Linked DNA regions of Macaca fascicularis. The protein of the gene in region 3 interacts with the protein of the main gene of each other region in a biochemical or structural test. Links are inferred from orthologs where the notes say so. Each region holds a gene or a part of one and is shown on either strand. Other genes may lie near its edges.

The links.
Region 1: the proteins of NUP153 (region 3) and KPNB1 form a complex in vitro, tested with the Homo sapiens proteins (4 studies listed by BioGRID and IntAct, with this or other methods). The link is inferred for Macaca fascicularis from reciprocal best matches to the Homo sapiens genes NUP153 and KPNB1.
Region 2: the proteins of NUP153 (region 3) and SENP2 form a complex in vitro, tested with the Homo sapiens proteins (2 studies listed by BioGRID). The link is inferred for Macaca fascicularis from reciprocal best matches to the Homo sapiens genes NUP153 and SENP2.
Region 4: the proteins of NUP153 (region 3) and NXF1 form a complex in vitro, tested with the Homo sapiens proteins (2 studies listed by BioGRID and IntAct). The link is inferred for Macaca fascicularis from reciprocal best matches to the Homo sapiens genes NUP153 and NXF1.

What each region holds. Positions count from the first base shown.
Region 1 is NC_088390.1:59,066,916-59,071,634, forward strand, and holds part of KPNB1 (importin subunit beta-1), read right to left. Parts: coding exon 4,696-4,719; intron 3,461-4,695; coding exon 3,269-3,460; intron 2,505-3,268; coding exon 2,374-2,504; intron 1-2,373.
Region 2 is NC_088376.1:97,560,270-97,565,633, reverse strand, and holds the end of SENP2 (sentrin-specific protease 2), read right to left. Parts: intron 4,717-5,364; coding exon 4,621-4,716; intron 2,450-4,620; coding exon 2,387-2,449; 3' UTR 1,124-2,386; downstream 1-1,123. UniProt on the Homo sapiens protein: Protease that catalyzes two essential functions in the SUMO pathway.
Region 3 is NC_088378.1:155,270,769-155,275,487, reverse strand, and holds part of NUP153 (nuclear pore complex protein Nup153), read right to left. Parts: intron 4,392-4,719; coding exon 4,119-4,391; intron 1-4,118. UniProt on the Homo sapiens protein: Component of the nuclear pore complex (NPC), a complex required for the trafficking across the nuclear envelope. Functions as a scaffolding element in the nuclear phase of the NPC essential for normal nucleocytoplasmic transport of proteins and mRNAs.
Region 4 is NC_088388.1:11,251,634-11,256,352, forward strand, and holds part of NXF1 (nuclear RNA export factor 1), read left to right. Parts: intron 1-693; coding exon 694-803; intron 804-2,589; coding exon 2,590-2,626; intron 2,627-3,738; coding exon 3,739-3,807; intron 3,808-3,887; coding exon 3,888-3,943; intron 3,944-4,556; coding exon 4,557-4,664; intron 4,665-4,719.

The DNA.
Region 1 (4,719 bases), on a different chromosome or scaffold from region 3:
TTGAGTCTGGAAACACAATATCCAAGAACCAAATCTTCAAGTCCTTTGAGCCAATGGCTATGTTCATTATGGTCTCCAGACAGTTAAAATTTAGAATGGCCCTTTTACGAAATGGGCTAAAATTATAGAGGAAAAAATGGTTTGAAATGGTAAAGAATCATGTGAACAATTTAACAGGTTGTCTGAAGAGCTATGAAGAAAATACCCCAATTTTCTCGCCTAGATATGGTGGCTCATGCCTGTAATCTCAGCAATTTAGGAGGCTGAGGCAGGCGGATCACTTGAGGTCAGTTTGAAACCAGCCTGGTCAACATGGTAAAACCCCATCTCTACTGAAAATATAAAAATTAGCCAGGCGTAGGGGCGCATGCCTGTAATCCCAGCTACTCAGGAAGCTGAGGCACAAGAATTCCTTGAACCTGGGAGGTGGAGGTTGCAGTGAGCCGAGACTGCACTCCAGGGCAACAAGAGCGAAACTCTGTCTCAAAAACAAAAACAAAAACAAAAACAAACAAACAAAAAAAAGAAAATACCCCAATTTTCTTCATTCCTTTAAAAAAGATGTCTTCATTTACAATCTCAAAGAGGCATGGAGATGATGGGCACAGTGGCTCAGGCCTCTAATCCCAGCACTTTGGGAGGCCAAGGTGGGCAGACCACCTGAGGTGTCAGGAATTTGTGACTAGCCTGGCCAACATGCAAAACCCCATCTCTACTATAAATACAAAAATTAGCCAGGCATGTTGGTGGGCACCTTTAGTCCCAGCTACTCTGGAGGCCGAAGCACGAGAAACACTTGAACCCGGGAGGCTGCAGTGAGCCAAGACTGCACAATTGCACTTCAGCCTGGGTGACAAGAGCGAAACTCTGTCTCAAAAAAAGGGGAGATTTTTGTGCTCAGCTCAGGTTTACTTTGCTCATGACTTTAGGTATAGCTCACACAAAACATGAACTGTTAAAGGTTGTCTCCAACTTAAAACACCTTTAAACAACATTTCAAAAGCTTTTTTCTAAGTCAACTGCATTTACCCCAAGTTCTTCATCCCACATAAAAATATGGTAGTTGGCCGGGCACGGTAGCTCATGCCTGTAATCCCGGCACTTTGGGGGGCCAAGGCAGGTGGATCACGAGGTCAGGAGATCGAGACCATCCTGGCCAACACAATGAAACCCCATCTCTACTAAAAATACTAAAATTAGCTGGGCATGGTGGCTTGTGCCTGTAGTCCCAGCTACTCAGGAGACTAAGGCAGAAGAATCGCTTGAGGAGGTTGCAGTGAGCCGAGACTGCACCACTGCACTCCAGCCTGGGCAACAGAGCAACACTCCGTCTCAAATAATAATAATAATAAAAAATAAAAATAAAATAAATGGTAGTTATTGATTTGGTGTGGCAATCAAATTCATAATGAATACTATCATTTCTCTTGTAACCGAACACTCCTGTTAACTGTCAATGCTGCAAAATGAAGGAACCTCTCTAGATCAATAACTGTCTACAAAGAAACTAGAGAAATTACACTATATTCAGATTTAAGCTATAAACTGAACAATTTTAAGGTAGGTGGAATTTGCATCTCTTTCTCTATCTTTAAACAAACCAGTCAACCAATCATGGGATTCTTTTTTTTTTTTTTTTTTTTTGAGATGGAGTTTCACTCTTGTTGCCCAGGCTGGAGTGCAGTGGCGCAATCTCAGCTCACTGCAACCTCTGCCTCCCAAGTTCAAGCAATTCTCCTGCCTCAGCCTCCTGAGTAGCTGGGACTACAGGCATGCGCCGCCACACCCGGCTAATTTTTTTGTATTTTTAGTAGAGACGGGGTTTCACCATGTTGGCCAGACTGCTTTCGAACTCCTGACCTCAGGTGATCCAGTTGCCTCAGCCTCCCAAAGTATTGGGATTATAGGCGTGAGCCACCGCGCCCAGTGGGATTCTTTTTTTTTTTTTGAGACTGAGTCTCGCTGTTGCCCAGGATGGGAGTGCAGTGGCGCAATCTTGGCTCACTGCAAGCTCCGCCTCCCGGGTTCACGCCATTCTCCTGCCTCAGCCTCCTGAGTAGCTGGGACTATAGGCGCCCGCCACCACGCCTGGCTAATTTTTTGTATTTTTAGTAGAGACAGGGTTTTACCTTGTTAGCCAGGATGGTCTTGATCTCCTGACCTCGTGATCTGCCGGCCTCGGCCTCCCAAAGTGCTGGGATTACAGGCTTGAGCCACCGCGCCCAGCACTGGCGGGACTCTTAATTCCACTAGAGAAGGTAGAGTCTTGTCCTGTCTCACTATGCTTCTATGATTAAGCTAGATATCCTCCACATAGAAGGCAACAGAACTTGGATGCAAAGACGTTACTCATTTCTGTGAAATATCAGTTACCTGTCTGTAGTCTCCAGGAGCTTCTGAACTATGAGTTCAAATGAAGAAGACAAGCAATAAGTAGCTGGTTCTTCCTGATCATCAGCAACATCTGCAGCTTCATAAGCAGCTTCAGCCAGACTGGAGAAAGCCTGAAATGCAGATAGGTTCAGTGTTAATCCTGAAAGAACCCCACACCTTAGGACCATCTCATTTTTCATTAAGATACTTTGGGCTGTGTCAGTGAACTTCCAACTTTTTCTGCCAAGGTAATCTCTTAAGATGGCATTTTACGGGTGTCTTTTAAATTAACTATTTATTTATTTGATTTGTACTTTCTGTTCATCCTGTCTGATAATCTGACAACTCTCTAAGCAGCAGAGTACTTTCACCAACACCTGCCATTTCTTCTGTTTCTGATCACAGAAATCCTGTCCATTTCATTTCTCCTGTTTCCTTTCACAGACTTTTAGCCCCATTCCTTATATTCCTTATTTGAACTTCCTCCCCTTAACCAAATACATTAGCGTATACTGACTCAGCATTTAGGCTGCCTACCTTCCTTTCCTCTTGCCCTCTTCTCAGCAATGATACTTCTTGTAGCCAACAACTCTCTACCTTAATCAAAACTTCTTGTCCCCAAGCAATTCAAGAAAGCAACCCAAGTCCAGATAGTTTCCCCACTGGGTTACCATGACTGTTCTAAGTGGTTCAGGAACCAGTAACCGTGAGTCAACTGTTCCCACTGGCTCTTGCAGTTGGAATCTCCCCCACATTTTAATTGAATAAATTAGGAAGAAAATGTTATTCAGAAAAAGGCTTCCAGTGAGGCAGATCCATTTCTCTCCCACACCTTCTACTTTCTTGCCAATGGCAAAGGCAAGCTCCTTTTCTCACCCGGAAGAAAACCCCTTACCCAGCACACATTTGAAGCCACTCTGGGTTCAGCACTGAGGCCCTCAATCAGACACTGCAGCAGGGGAGCCAAGTAGACATCATTGATGGCAGCTTCAGGAAGCAGCTCACAAATTCTGCCTACAGTCCATGCAGCTGTATCTCGAACAACTACACTGGGGTCTTTCATTAATTCTATTAAGGTGGGCATAGCCTGAAAATATAACAGTTATTAGCAAAGCAAAACAAAGATTAAAATTCATGTTAACTACTACTTCAGAAAAAGAAATACTAATGGATGGCTTAACTCAAAAAAGTCACCACGATACTTTTGTAATTTTACAGGACATGGTATGAAACATCTTTCAAAATATTTGAAAATATCTTTCAAAACTCCAGTTTAGAGTTTTATATTAAAAATTTGGTATAAATGCTTTCAGTAGTCTGCAATAAATTACTCAGATAGAGGCCGGGCATGATGGCTCATGCCTATAATCCCAGCACTCTGGGAGGCTGAGGCAGGCAGATCACTTGAGGTCAGGAGTTCAAGACCAGCCTGGTCAACATGATGAAATCCAGTCTCTCTACTAAAAATACAAAAATTAGCTGGGCATGGTGGCACATAGTCCCAACTACTCAGGGGGCTAAGGCACGAGAATTGCTTGAGCTGGGGAGCTGGAGGTTGCAGTGAGCCTAGATTGTACCACTAAGCTTCAGCACTCCAGCACAGGTAACAGAGTAAGACTCCAGCCCCCCGCCTCCCCACCTCAAAAAAAAAAAAATTACTCAGATACTCAGAATTCCCAGGATGCAGCTACGATGGCATCTGGCTATATCCACAAAGACTGAATTCTTTAAGCACTAAACTCAAGTATAACAAACTCCTTTTCTTTTTTTTGAGATGGAGTTTCACTCTTGTTGCCCAGGCTGGAGTGCAATGGCACGATTTTTAATAAAAAAACAAGCACAACATTTCCACAAGAACATTTTCATTATATAAAGGCCATTTTGTCCAAAGAATAGAATAATAATGCCATTATTTAAAATTATGGGGAATCAGTGCTAGGTGCAAAAAAAAATTATCGGGAAATGTTTACAACATAGTATTAAATGAAGAAACAAGTTATAAAACAATCTGCACAGAAAGCGCCTGTTGCACACACATTTACACAGGAAAAAGCTTCAAGGATAAATACAGAGTTAAGAGCGGTTATTTCTGGGCAATGAAATTAAAGGTGACTTCTCTTTTGGCTTTTTTCAAAAGTCTCTGGATCATGCTGACTAATTAGAAACCTAAGAAATATATTTTACTCTCATTAAAAGTAAATAGGTATCTATAAATAATCTTTGTAGATGACAATTTACAGTTTTGTTTTGAAAAATAAAGATATGCTTTAAGTTTAAACAATAAATATTCTACTTTCTACTCCAAAAATCCCTCAGCTTCACCTGTATAACTAGTGGTTTGAGCTG
Region 2 (5,364 bases), on a different chromosome or scaffold from region 3:
AAACCGTACTACTAACATGTTTCTTTATGCCAAGGGAGACATTCTCTAATGCCTAGAGAAGCATGGCCTGTGATCTCTCACATTCAATTCAGGAACTCAGGGTCAAGCAGAAGGCCATGCTATAGAGTTCAACACTCTGCTCTTCCCAATTTCATTATGTCCTGGAAGTTTTAAGAGCCGTCCAGAAGAGTGTACGTTAATGGAAAGCTCAGTGAGAACTGCTCTTAAGAAGCCCCTCAAATAATACATTAAGCCCAGCATAATTCATGTGGGCGGAATACAAACTGCCATTCCTAACAGGACTTACCTAGCATGGAATCAATCTTTTTTTTTTTTTTTTTTTTGAGACGGAGTCTCACGCTGTTGCCCAGGCTGGAGTGCAGTGGCGCGATCTCGGCTCACTGCAAGCTCCGCCTCCCGGGTTCCCGCCATTCTCCTGCCTCAGCCTCCTGAGTAGCTAGGACTACAGGCGCCCGCCACCGCGCCCGGCTAATTTTTTGTATTTTTAGTAGAGACGGGGTTTCACCGTGGTCTCGATCTCCTGACCTTGTGATCCGCCCGCCTCGGCCTCCCAAAGTGCTGGGATTACAGGCTTGAGCCACCGCGCCCGGCGCATGGAATCAATCTTAACCATGGTACCAAACTCTCAAGTGAAGCACGCTGATGCCCAGTGAAAGCCAGGTGTTTGGTATAATGCTGACCTAGTGACCTCTGGCCTTTTTGGCTGTGCTCATTGCCTGGTCCCAGTAGTCACTCAGTGCCAGGAGCCCAGGGAAAGGAGCAGGGGCTGCAGGAAGGAGGGAGGTGTAGCACAACCTGCTCCCACTTCAATCATCACCCAACCACATGGCCTCTGGCTGACCATCAAGTAGGCCCAGCATTTTCAATCCACACCACAGGCCCATGTCCTAAACCAGGATTTTACAAGTCTCAGGGAACTGGCTGCAATAGCTATAACCAGTATACCTCTGGGACCAGCAGCCGGAGCACTCCAAATGGCAGGCATGTAGATTCATAGGTAACACATGCCCAATTTTTCCAGTTTTACCTCTTGCTTTTATGAACCAGAACAAGTTTGGGAGGTTGAAGTAGGGAGAGGGTTGGAAATCATTTCAGCATATACTTTTTTAGGTTCTGCCAGACAACCTTTTATTACATCAGAAAAGCAACACTAGGCACTAGATCTTGCAAAATATGTTCTGACCAACTCTAAACTTTCTGAAGTTATAACCACATCAGTAAGGTTTTTAATGAACAAAAAAGTTAAATACAAACTTTCATATGCAAAATAGATTATTGTATAACTGGCAACCTCAGAGCCAAGTACTAAATTTTCTTCCACAAATTTCAGTGGGGATGGAGTGGGGAGATGTCAGTCTTAATGAGTAGAAAACTTAATTTAGGCTTAATATATAGAAAACAAAAACTCTGAGGAAAAATAGCTTTAAATTGAATAGTATCTTTTGAATTAAACAGCTCAGGCCAGGCCCTATAATTCTGAGGTTTATACTCAATCAGATCTGGGATGAAAATGAAGATTTAGGGTTTACAGTTACTTCAAATCCATGAATCCAGTTTCAAGACTAAGCCAAGTCACCTCATTTCCAGAAAGGGAAGTCTCTTTAAGATGACAACACATCTCTTCGGAAGATGCTTGGATAGTCAGAGTTCCTTGGGCACAGGTCCACTGTTCATGGCACTGTGCCAACGCTGTAGTGTCAGACTTCCTCTGAAAGGCAACGGGAGCCCTATCCCACAGCATTTTCATTTCTCCCAGCATTTTTGAGCCTCAAAAAAACAAAAACAAAAAACAAAATCCCAAACCCTCCAGCTTCATGTTGGCAGTTACTGCTCCAGCTCCACTTCCTTCCGCCCCCAGTGAGAGTTCCCTCCTGGTCTTCAGCAGGGAGTGGCAGCTTGAGTAACATTCCTTTCAGAAATAAATAGTTCAAACAAGTAATTTAGAGCTAACTGTAAAAGAGCAGCAGCAAATGACCACTGCCCATTATGTTTGCAAACGAGTGAGTGAATGAATACGCTGAACAAACACACAGAAAACAAACAATTCACAGAGTAAATCCTGCATTTCCCACATTCATAGGGAAAAGAATCTCTTAAAAAAAATAGTAGTTAGCGTTTGTTCTTGTGTGGGTTGAACAGTCCAAAGCTCTGAGCAGGCACAGCCTTACAAACAGGATTGCAAGCAGCCCTCTGCACCCCAAGTCAGGACTAGGGTGCAGTGAGAGGCCTTCATGCACTTTTGACAGCTCAGTACCTGTGAGAGAACAGAAGTGATGCAGGGACTTTTTAACCCACAATGCATGAGGTATATGGAAATGTCTGTGAAAGAACCACCAGCAGCTAGAGGGGACCAGGCAAAGTTTTCTCACAGCAACTGCTGATGAAGGATTTCCCACACCATCTTCTTCCGGAAGAGAGGCATCTGGTGCTGCAAAGAATCCCATAAACAACACATGCATTACATCATAATGTGCACAGCAGCACAACCTTCAGGTGTAATCATGTCAATAAAGCAGGATGTCCATGTTCTTTTTCTAAATGTTGACATTTTTATATCATGGAACATACTTATCAAACCATTAAAAGGCCGGGCGCAGTCCCAGCACTTTGGGAGGCCGAGGAGGGCAGATCATAAGGTCGGGAGATCGAAACCATCCTGGCTAACACGGTGAAACCTCGCCTCCATTAAAAATACAAAAATTAGCCGGGCATGGTGGTACATGCCTGTAGTCCCAGCTTCTCAGGAGGCTGAGGCAGGAGAATCACTTGAACCTGAGAGATGGAGGTTGCAGTGAGCCAAGATCATGCCTCTGCACTCCAGCCTGGGCAACAGAGCAAGACTCCATCTCAAAATAATAATAATAATAATAATAATAATAATAATAATAATAAAAAACTAGTGATGTCCTACCTAGGGGTGGGGGCTAAAAAGTCTTAACACATGATTCTTAAATTATTTTAAATAGTTCAAAACATCTAGTAAAAACTGCACATTTGCTCTTAGTAAAACTGCTAAGACTAAGCAATAAATGCCTTTATTTTTTACTGGAATTGTATTAATTCAGCATGGGAGTCCTAGTTACTTCATGTAATACAGTTTGTATTATAGTTTGTATTCATGTAATAAATACAGTTTGCTTGGTAGACATCTATCAAAATAAAGTCTGTGGATGAAAAATATATATATATATTTTTTGAGACAGAGTCTCGCTCTGTCGCCCAGGCTGGAGTGCAGTGGCTGGATCTCAGCTAACTGCAAGCTCTGCCTCCTGGGTTTACGCCATTCTCCTGCCTCAGCATCCCCAGTAGCTGGGACTACAGGCGCCCGCCACCTCGCCCGGCTAGTTTTTTGTATTTTTTAGTAGAGACGGGGTTTCACTGTGTTACCAGGATGGTCTCGATCTCCTGACCTCGTGATCCACCCGCCTCGGCCTCCCAAAGTGCTGAGATTACAAGCTTGAGCCACCACACCGGCCTGAAAAATATTTTTAATGAGGTTGTCCTCAGTTGTAAAAAGGTTGAGAATCCACTGTTACAAATTCTCAAGAATTCCCAACATACTTGAGTTTCCAATCAAATGCAGAGCCATGGAGAATTAAACAAACAAAAGAGCAGAACAGAAAGGAAGAGCAGTATTCACAAGTTACATCTTAGACCTGTGACTTCAATGCTCACAGGCCTGTTTTTCCCTTCCTATTAAATACTGACATACCTCTTTCTTTGGCTAGAAATAATAATACACAGGAACCAATGAATGCCAGAGTTCAGAGGTTTGCAATTTGTGCCCATTGTGTACCAAAGACTAGGATAAACCTGAGAGCAGATAAAATAACAAACCCTGATTCTGGCAGGGGTAGGGCTAAAACCAAGATTTACAGCAATAAGAATAGCACAGCTACTACTATTTTTTTTTTTTTTTTTGGGGAGATGGAGTTTCGCTTTTGTTGCCCCAGGCTGGAGTGCAATGGCGTGATCTCGACTCCCCACAACCTCCACCTCCTGGGTTCAAGCAATTCTCCTGCCTCAGCCTCCCTAGTAACTGGGATTACAGGCATGCGCCACCACGCCCGGCTAATTTTGTATTTTTAGTAGACACAGGGTTTCTCCATGTTGGTCAGGCTGGTCTTGAACTTCTGACCTCAGCTGATCCACCTGCCTTGGCCTCCCAAAGTGCTGGGATTACAGGCATGAGCCCAGCTACTATTATTTATTTATTTTTGAGACAAGAGTCTCGCTCTGTTGCCAAGACTGGAGTGCACTGGTGTGACCTCGGCTCACTGCGACCTCTGCCTCCTGGGTTCAAGCGATTCTCCTGCCTCAGTCTCCTGAGTAGCTGGGATTATAGGTGTGCACCACCACACCTGGCTAACTTTTGTGTTTTTAGTAGAGATGGGGTTTCACCATGTTGGCCAGGCTGGTCTTGAACTCCTAACCTCAGGTGATCCGCCTGCCTCGGCCTCCCAAAGTGCTGGGAATATAGGTGTGAGCCACCACGCCTGGCCAGCTACTACTACTGAGAGCTGAACATGTGCCAGGCACTGGCCAAGTGCCTTATCTTGCTTAGTAACAAGTAAATGAATGAGGAGGGTCTTCACTCACCTGAGTAAATGTGATAGGTTTGTCCCTAGAAATATAATCTGCATATTTACAAGTAAACATTCCACAATCACTCCCATTCAACTGTTGAGGAATCTCCTAAAATTACAAAGAAAAAAGAAGGGAGGAAAGGGTAAAACATCATTATATACAAATCCCTTGGACTTTTTCTAAATATTGCTATAAACAATATTATAAAGGTAAATATTAAATCAGGTATTACCTAAACACACCATCATAAACAAAAAAACACAATTATTCTTACTCTGTGTGGTATAAAACATAGATCATAGCAAGGGAAAAACAGGCCTTGTGAGAACTGAAGCCACAGGTCTAAGATGTAACTTGCAAATACTGCTTTTCCTTTCTGTTCTGTTCTTGTGTTTAATCTTCCATGGTTCTGCATTTGATTGGAAACCCAGACTATGAGATGGAGAGCGTGACCCCATAGGAAAAATGTTTTTCAGAAAAGAAAAAAACAAAGTGAAAGTTCCATATCTCAGCTCCCATTCAAAGAAACCAAATTGAAAGGAGGTTTACTACCGGGAATGCTAGTCAGAATTATTTCAGAAGCATTTATTAATTTTAAAAAGGGCCAAGTGTGGTCAATCAGAAATGTAATTTCTCTAGCTAAGAAAATAAGACTACTGCTTTGGACCCTTACAGCTTCAAGGCGGACGAGAGAAGTTCCTGAATAGGCTTTAACCAATCAGGATCTTGCCTTGACAGATCAGTTATGCCCTAAGG
Region 3 (4,719 bases):
AATTCTTCCAGAGTGGCCCATGGAAGCCAAAAGATTGGACCCCCCCTGGCCTAGGCAAAGATTTTATGGCTAAGACATCAAAAGCACAGGCAACAAAAAAATAGACGAGAGGGACTATATTAAACAGCAATCAACAGAGTGAAAAATCTGTTGAAAGGGAAAAAATGTTTGCTAACTATTCATACAACAGGGAACTAATATCCAGAATACACAAGGAGCTCAAAGGACTCAACAGCAAAACAAAAAACAAACAACCCAAATAATCCTATTGAAAAGCGGGCAAAGGATCTGAATAGACATTTCTTAAAACACAATACACAAATGGCCAATAGACCTGAAAAGATGCTCAACATCACTATCATAAGGGAAATGCAAATCAAAACCACAATGAGGCAGCATTTCACCCATTAGAATGGCTACTACCAAAAGGACAAAAATTAACAAATGCTGGCAATGAAATGGAAACTTATACACTGTTGGTATGAATGTAAATTAGTATAACCATATGGAAAGCAGTATGGAAGTTTCTCAAAAAATCTAAAAATAGAATCACCTTATGATCCAGCAATCCCATTACTTATTTATCCAAAGAAAAGGAAATCAGTATATCAAACAGATACCTGTACCCGATGTTCAGTGCAGCACTATTCACAATAGCCAAGATATGGAATCAATCTAAGTGTACATCAACAGATGAATGGCTGCAGAAAATGTGATCTGATATACAGTGAAATACTATTTGGTCATTAAAAGAAAATAAAATCTTGTCATTTACTACAACATCTATGGCACTGAAGGATATTATGTTAGGTGAAATAAGTCAGGCACAAAGACAAATATTCAACGTTCTCATTCATATGTAGGAGCTAAAAAAAAGTTGATCTCATAAAGGTAGAGAACAGAATGATGGTTCAGAGGCTTGGTTGGGATGGTGGTAGGAAAAGAAAGGTGGTTAATGAATACAAATATATGGCTAGATAGTAGGAATAAATTCTAGTATTTGAGAGCACAGTAGAGTTAACAATAATTTATTGTATATTTCAAAATAGCTAGAAGAGAAGATCTGAAATATTCCCGATACAAAGAAATGATGAATGCTCAAGGTGATGGATATCCTAAATGCCCTAATTTGATTATTATACATTGTATGTAACAAAATAACACATATCAGTTTTTAAAAATGAAAAACTTTAAAATGTGGTTTTCACTTTTATCAAAAATGCTTCCGGATTATTACTAAAACTACATTTTTATGTATGACAAAATGAATGCTTTGTGTTTTCTGTGGGAATGACCTTTACTAGACTTTGTAGTATGGCTTTTTTTGGGGGGATAGTTATGCTGCTACCCAGAGCCTAGAATTTTCTAACACCTTGGTTGGGCACAGTAGCTCACACCTATAATCCTAGCACTTTAGGAGGCTGAGGTGGGTGGACTGCTTGAGCTCGGGATTTCGAGACCAGCCTGGATAACATGGCAAAACCCCGTCTCTACAAACCACGAACCACTCCAAAAATAAACAGATGGGTGTAGTGGTGGTGTCTGCCTGTAGTCCCAGCTTCTTGGCGGGCTCAGGCAGGAGAATGGCTTGAGCCCAGCAGGTTGAGGCAGTAGTGAGCTGAGATTCTACCGCTGTACTCCAGTCTGTGGGTGCAAGGTAAGACCCTATCTCAAAACATTTTTAAAAAATTTTAAAAAAGGATTCTCTAACATCTTTACTATCCAGGTCTACTTTGTTACAGAACTGAGAACCTCCACCCTAAAATGCTGTCCTTCCCCAAGTTTTAACAATAGTGTGACCCTAATTTTTAGGGCCTTTGTAGCCTTGTCTCAATTCTTTAACTGGAAGAAAGATCTCCCTAAAATTGACTTTTTCTTTGTATTTAGTTTATAAAATTGATTGCTCTTTAAATTAAAAAAATTAACAGAGAGAGGAAGTCAATAATGTCAGAGAAACAAAATTCTGTATAGGATAGAAAGTTACAGTATACCATATGGCTCAGCAATAATCAGCATTTCCATAATCCGAATCGTGATCTAACCATATACTGTCTCTATATTATGAAGACAGAGGAAAGACTGGACGTGGTGGCTCATGCCTGTAATCCCAGCACTTTGGGAGGCTGAGGTGGGCGGATCATGAGGTCAGGAGATCGAGACCATCCTGGCTAACATGGTGAAACCCCGTCTCTACTAAAAATACAAAAAAATCAGCCAGGCGTGGTGGCGGATGCCTGTAGTCCCAGCTACTTGGGAGGATGAGGCAGGAGAACCATTTGAACCCAGGAGGAGGAGGATGCAGTGAGAGCCACTGCACTCCAGCCTGGGCGACAGAGCAAGATTCCGTCTTTAAAAAAAACATAAAAAAAGAAGACGACAGAGAAAAATGTTAACTGTGTGAAAGAAATCGAAACTTCCCAATTTCATATTAGAGGAAAAAATCCTGATCAAAATGGTTAATATATATCAGAAAACAGGAGAAATTTTAGTATGTACATTAACTGACAAAGTACCAATAACCAGAACACATAAAGAACTTTTACAAACCCATATGTAAAAGCCAAACTGAAAAATGGCCAATAAAAAAAAAAAAAAACACTTTTTAAAAAGAATTCACACACATGAGAAATCAAGTAGAAGCCACATATAAGAACTCATACAATAGTGGTAGGGTATGAACTGGCAGAATTCAACAGGAAAAGTTTGTATTATCTTCTAGTATAAGATATACAAACCTTTTAATTCAGCAATCCCATGCCACTGTATATACTCTAGAAAAACTCCAGAAAAACATATATACTCTAGAAAAACATACTTATGTGCACCAAGGTACATATATAAGAATGTGCAGAGTAGCATTTCCTAGTTGTTAAAAACAACTGAAACATACGTCAACAGTAAATAGATAAACTGCAGTACATTCATACAATGATTTATGTACATACAATGATTCTATGGCAATGACAATAAACCATATGCAAAACATGGATGACCCTTAGAAACCTTAGAGCGAAAGAATCAAGAATCAAAAGATTGCATACAGTAATGTTTCATTTATATATAAAAGCAGGCAAAACTACATTTTCTAGGGATGCATATATTGGCCAATAAATGCAGTAATAAAACTCAAAGAACAGCGATTACCATAAAAGACGAAGCGGTGGTCATCATTAGAGTGGAGAAAGAGAGGAATGTTTTCAAAAACAGATATATGAGGGGCTCCCAGGTGGTTATTATATAGCATTTGCTTCAATATTACACTGTTCACTTATATTTTACACCCCTTTCTACATGTTATATTTCACAATTAGAAAAAATCAACAATTTTAAGAAAATACAGGATTATAATACAGTTTGATTAGTCATATTTAAATATGCAGGTCAAATGGAAAAGCTAGTATCATCAGTAAACAGAAAGTGTCATGAGACAACTCAGCGGGACTGCCTCAGGAGAGAGCACTGGACCTGGGGGTAACTTCCTGACGCAAATCCAATCATGAATAGGATCAGAAAATGCACTTTAAAGCTAGCTCTGAGAGCCCAAAAATTCAGAGTTGAAAAGAAACCAGACTGAATGAATCTCAAGTCAGAGTAAAAATTAACACTTTAAAATACATTACTACCTTAAAAAGTTATAAGTCTGTGAAACCTGGGAATGTTGTTTACATATAAATCCAACCATATTACCTCTTTATTCTGCCAAGTACAAGAGATAATTTTTTTTCCCCGAGTCGGAGTCTCGCACTGTTGCTCAGGCTGGAGTGCAGTGGCACGATCTTGGCTCACTGCAACCTCTGCCTCCCGGGTTCACGCCATTCTCCTGCCTCAGCCTCCAGAGTAGCTGGGACTACAGGCGCCTGCCACCATGCCCGGCTCATTTTTTGTATTTAGTTGTATTTTTAGTAGGTTTCACCATGTTAGCCAGGATGGTCTCAATCTCCTGACCTCATGATCCGCCCACCTCGGCCTCCCAAAGTGCTGGGGTTACGGCGTGAGCCACCGTGCCCGGCCAAGAGGTAATTTTAAAATTAAACATACAAATGGTTTCCAAGCTCAAAGGAAAATATTTTAAGACATACAAAACTCATACAGATACAACAGCATCACAGCACACTTACTGGAATTAGGAGTTGTTCCAGAGCCAAATGCAGACTGACTAGGTTGCTGTCCAAACACAGGGGGCTGACTACTGCTTGACACTGTCCCAAAAGTAGGTGGTGCAGGCTGAGAACCACTGGAAAATAATGCTGTGGAAGATGATATAGATCCAAAGCCTGGGGGATTGGGCTGGCTGGCACCTTGACTTTGTCCAAATGTTGGGGTCTGGTTAGCACCAAATGCTGGACTGGCAGATGGTGCTGAAGGTCCAGTTCCAAATACGAAGGAGGATCCTGGAGGCCCAAAGACACACTTAAGTCGCCATGGTGGCTAATGTCAGATTATCCTCAAGAAATTTCTGAAAACCCACAAGCAAATGTCAAGCTTCTTTTCAGACTCTTACCTTGTTAACCAAATTCCATCAAGACAAGTTTTAAATAATGATTGAGAATACAACTCTCTCTACCATTATTTAGTGAAACATACTAAATTCATATAAACAAAAACTGCAATTAACAACTACTCCATACCTTCACAGCCAACAATTTTTGGTAAAGGAACATATCTCAGAAAAGTCTCCCACCAGAAATCTAATGTGTGCAGAAATCACCTCATGATGTG
Region 4 (4,719 bases), on a different chromosome or scaffold from region 3:
AGAGCACAGGAGTTCAAGGCTGCAGTGAGTTATGATTGCGCTATTGCATTCTAGCTTGAGCAACCTGTCTCAAAAATTTTTTTTTTTTTTTTTTTTTTTTTTTTTTGAGACGGAGTCTCGCTCTGTCGCCCAGGCTGGAGTGCAGTGGCCGGATCTCAGCTCACTGCAAGCTCCGCCTCCCGGGTTCCCGCCATTCTCCTGCCTCAGCCTCCCGAGTAGCTGGGACCACAGGCGCCGCCACCTCGCCCGGCTAACTTTTTGTGTTTTTAGTAGAGACGGGGTTTCGCCGTGTTAGCCAGGATGGTCTCGATCTCCTGACCTTGTGATCCGCCTGTCTCGGCCTCCCAAAGTGCTGGGATTACAGGCTTGAGCCACCACGCCCGGCCAAAAAATTTTTTTTAATTTAAAAAATAAATTAGTCAAGCATGATGTCACATGCCTGTAGTCCTAGATACCTAGGAGTCTGAGGTGGGAGGATCTCTTGAGTCCAGGAGTTTGAGGCTGCAGTGAACTATGATCATGCCACAGCACTGAACTTGGGTGACAGAGTGAGACCCTGTCCCCCCCAAAAAAATAAAATTTTAAGAGATTAAAAAAGAAGATTTCAGAGCTAAGCGTAGGTACTGGGGGTATGGGGATCCAGTTGGCTGTCTTCACCAGGGTCTCCTCCCTTTTTCCTTCCACCTTTTGCAGTTGAAGTCTGAGCGGGAGTTGGACAAGATAAAGGGGCTGAAACTAGAAGAGCTCTGGCTCGACGGAAACTCCTTGTGTGACACCTTCCGAGACCAGTCCACCTACATCAGGTCAGTTGTAGCCTGTGTCTCCCCTCCTGGGGACCTTCACCCCCTGGGAGGCTGAGCTAATGCATCCTGACCAGGGCCCGTCTGCGGAGATGTGCAGCCCTGAGCTGGAACCACCTGTCCTTTGGGAGGATCACGTGCTCCCCACTTTGGTCTGTCTATGTCTTCCAGCTTTGTCCTGAGATCCTTTCTCTTCTCTTCTGACCTGACTATCTGTTTGCTGGGTCTGTGGCCTTTCTCTTTCTTCCTGAACACAACCTTTTCTAGAATCTCCCTACCCTGTTGTTCCAGGAAAGGCATCTCTCCTTTCTACTCTGACCAGAGGGTATTTGTACATACCCTATAGATGGAGTGGCCTTATACCAAGAGCCTGATGTCCGTGGGCGGAGGAAGCCCTCCCTGCCTGGGACTTCCTTACTGAGATGGGCCTTCCGTCCTTTGTACTGTGATGGTCCCTCTTGCCCTTGCGCGAAGAGGGACCCTTTTCTCAGGATCCACTTGCCCAGGGTTGTTGCCTGGGCATTCCTGCCCATGCTGAGGTTGAGGCCTCCTAGGGGCTGGTGGCATGCAATCTGTCTATCTCCCTGAAGAAGAAACCTGGGTTCCCCAAGACGTGATCAGAGCTGGGGCCCCGCCAGCAGGCGAGGGAATCCCAAGGCAGGTGCTGGGCGTGGAGGCCACGGGGGCATAGGCTACCAAGGAGACAGAGAACTGAGCCCCTCGGGGGCGCTGCCTCTCCCTCACTCACACACTGCACGTCACCCTGTTTGGCCCCGGTGGATGGCTGGTTAGCCAGAGACGGGTAAGATTCCTCAGGGAAGGAACAACCTAAGACAGGCACAGTCGCAGAGGGGCCATCAGGAGATAACTTGGGGGCAACAGAGGTGGGGCACGGACCCTCACCCCCACAATCCTGCAAGGGCCTGAACCCTCACACCTTCTGAGGGAGGTCTCCTGCCCCCATGGCTGCTTTGCTCCCCACGCCCAGCTCAGATCGGGACCCAGGTAGCAGACAGAGACCTGGCCAACAGCAAGTGCCCACTCACCACAGCAAGGATTTGTTTCTCATTTCTACCTTGGACCACAGGGATGGGGCAGCTGAAAGAAAGGGCTGTGTCAGTTTCTCCCTTTTCTCCCTCATTTTTCTAGATGCTTTTTTGCCTTGTAGTTCTTTTCCCTTTTTCTTTGCTTTCTCTTTCTTTTTCTTCTGTGTTTCCTATACCTCCCCATCTCTGCCTTGCCCCTGCCCCATCTTGCCTTCTTCTCTTTTTCCTCCTTTTCCTCTCCTTTCTTACTCCTTGGCTTCTCCTCTTCCTGAGCCCCACCTGCTCATCTCCCTGCCCCAACATCCTGTGCCATCCCTGTGGTGTGTTTGGGTCTTGGCCAAGGCCAGACCTGGCAGAACTGATGGATACCTGGTGAGGCAGCGGAGCCCCTGGGCTCCCACCCCATTCCCTCCTCCCGGGGCTGCACAGGTGAGTAGGTGGAAGGTAAGGGGGGCAGGGAGGGGAAAGAGGTCCTGGGCTTAAAGCCTAGGTTTGGAGTACTGCTCCTTGACACTCAGGGTCAGGCAGAGAGAAAAGAGACAGCCTTCAAGGCAGTCCATGTCTGGGTGCCCCGGGTCAGGTGGGGAGTGGGGCCATTTTTCCCTGAGCACAGGCTGGGAGGGAGTGGAGGGATGAGCAGGATGGGATGGGCTGTCCCTCGGGTTTGGTATATTTGCTCCTAGAGCAGCCCAGGAGGCACGGTGGCTCTGAAGCATCACTTACTTCTGTCCCGTTCTTGACAGCGCCATTCGCGAACGATTTCCCAAGTTATTACGCCTGGTAAGTCCATAATTTTTTCATTCTAACAAGCACAGTGTCTCCCACTCACAAGGATTCCTGGATAGTTTTCTTTTTCTTTTTATTATTTTTTTTTTTTTGAGGCGGAGTTTCACTCTTATCGCCCAGGTTGGAGTGCAACGGCGTGATCTCAGCTCACCGCAACCTCCGCCTCCCAGGTTCAAGCGATTCTCCTGCCACAGTTTACTGAGCCCGAGTAGCTGGGATTACAGGCATGTGCTACCACGCCTGGCTAATTTTTGTATTTTTAGTAGAGACAGGGTTTCACCATGTTGGCCAGGCTGGCCTCAAACTCCTCACCTCAGGTGATCCATCCACCTTGGCCTCCCAAAGTGCTGGGATTATAGGCGTGAGCCACCTTGCCAGGCCGTTTATGGAGTCTTGCTCTGTTATCCAGAGTGCGGTGCAATCTAGACTCACTGCAACCTCCGCCTCCTGGGTTCAAGCGATTTTCCTGCCTCAGCCTCCCAAGTAGCTGGGATTACATGCATGTGCCACAACGCCCAGCTAATTTCTTTGTGTATTTTTAGTAGAGACGGGGGTTTCACCATGTTGGCCAGGATGGTCTTGAACTCCTGACCTCAACTAATCCATCCACCTTGGCCTCCCAGTGTGCTGGGATTACAGGCATGAGCCACTGTGCCCAGCCTGGATTCCTGGATACTTTTCATGATGCTTTTATACGTGACTTCTGATCCTTCTCTGTTAGTTCTTTAGTCTACTTATGCATCCAGCCTTTTTCTCTCTGGTTTAAACTGTCAACTTTTGTTTTGTTTTTGAGACAGGGTCTCGCTCTGTCATCCAGGCTGGAGTGCAGTGGCACAATCGTAGCTTACTGCAACCTTCGCCTGCCAGGTTCAAGTGATCCTCCCACTTCAGCCTCCCAAATAGCTGGGACTACAGGCACACACCACCACGCCCAGCTGATTTTTGTATTTTTTTTTGGTAGAGATGGGTTTTGCCATGTTGTCCAGGCTGGTCTAAAACTCCTGGGCTCAAGCCATCTGCCTGCCTCGGCCTCCCAAAGTTCTGGGATCACAGGTGTGAGCCACTGTGCTCAGTCTACACTGTCAACTTTTATTTCCTTTCCACAGGATGGCCATGAGCTACCCCCGCCAATTGCCTTTGATGTTGAAGCCCCCACGACGTTACCGCCCTGCAAGGTAGGAAGCATGGACTGAGTAAGAACTTATGTGTGGAGAGAATACTGCTTCCATGTTCCTAATATCTTGTTTGATTTCAGGGAAGCTATTTTGGAACAGAAAACTTGAAGAGTCTGGTCCTGCACTTCCTACAACAGTAAGTATCCCAGGGCCCCCTCTCCCCACCCCGGGGTTGGCAGGGAAAGGTGGGCAGACCCAGGCACACCTCAGCCTCACTCTTTTGGGTTTTTTTTTTGTTTGTTTGTTTTTTGGACAGTGTCTCACTCTGTCACCCAGGCTGGAGTGCAATGATGTGATCTTGGCTCACTGCAACCTCTGCCTCCCAGGGTTCAAGTGATTCTCCTGCCTCAGCCTCCCCAGTAGATGGGACTACAGGCGTGTGCCACCACACCTGGCTAATTTTTGTATTTTTCATAGAGACGGGGTTTCACTGTGTTGGCCAGGCTAGTCTCCAACTCCTGACCTCATGATCTGCCTGCCTTATCCTCCCAAAGTGTTGGGATTAGAGTCATGAGCCACCGCGCCCAGCCATTTTGTTTGTATTTTTAGTAGAGACAGGGTTTTGCCATGTTGCTCAGGCTGGTCTTGAACTCCTGGGCAAAAGCTGTTCATCTGCCTCAGCCTCCCAAAGTGCTGGGATTACAGACATGAGCCTCCATGCCCGGCCACAACTCACTCTTGGGAGCTACTGGGTCCTTTTATGGCTCTAGACCACATAGTTCATACTTTCTCTTTTGATTTTCCCATAGGTACTATGCAATTTATGACTCTGGAGACCGGCAAGGGCTCCTGGATGCCTACCATGATGGGGCCTGCTGTTCCCTGAGCATTCCTTTCATTCCTCAGAACCCTGCCCGGTGAGTATCACATCCCAGAATCTCCCCAGGACCACTGGGTTTCCCAGCAGATACA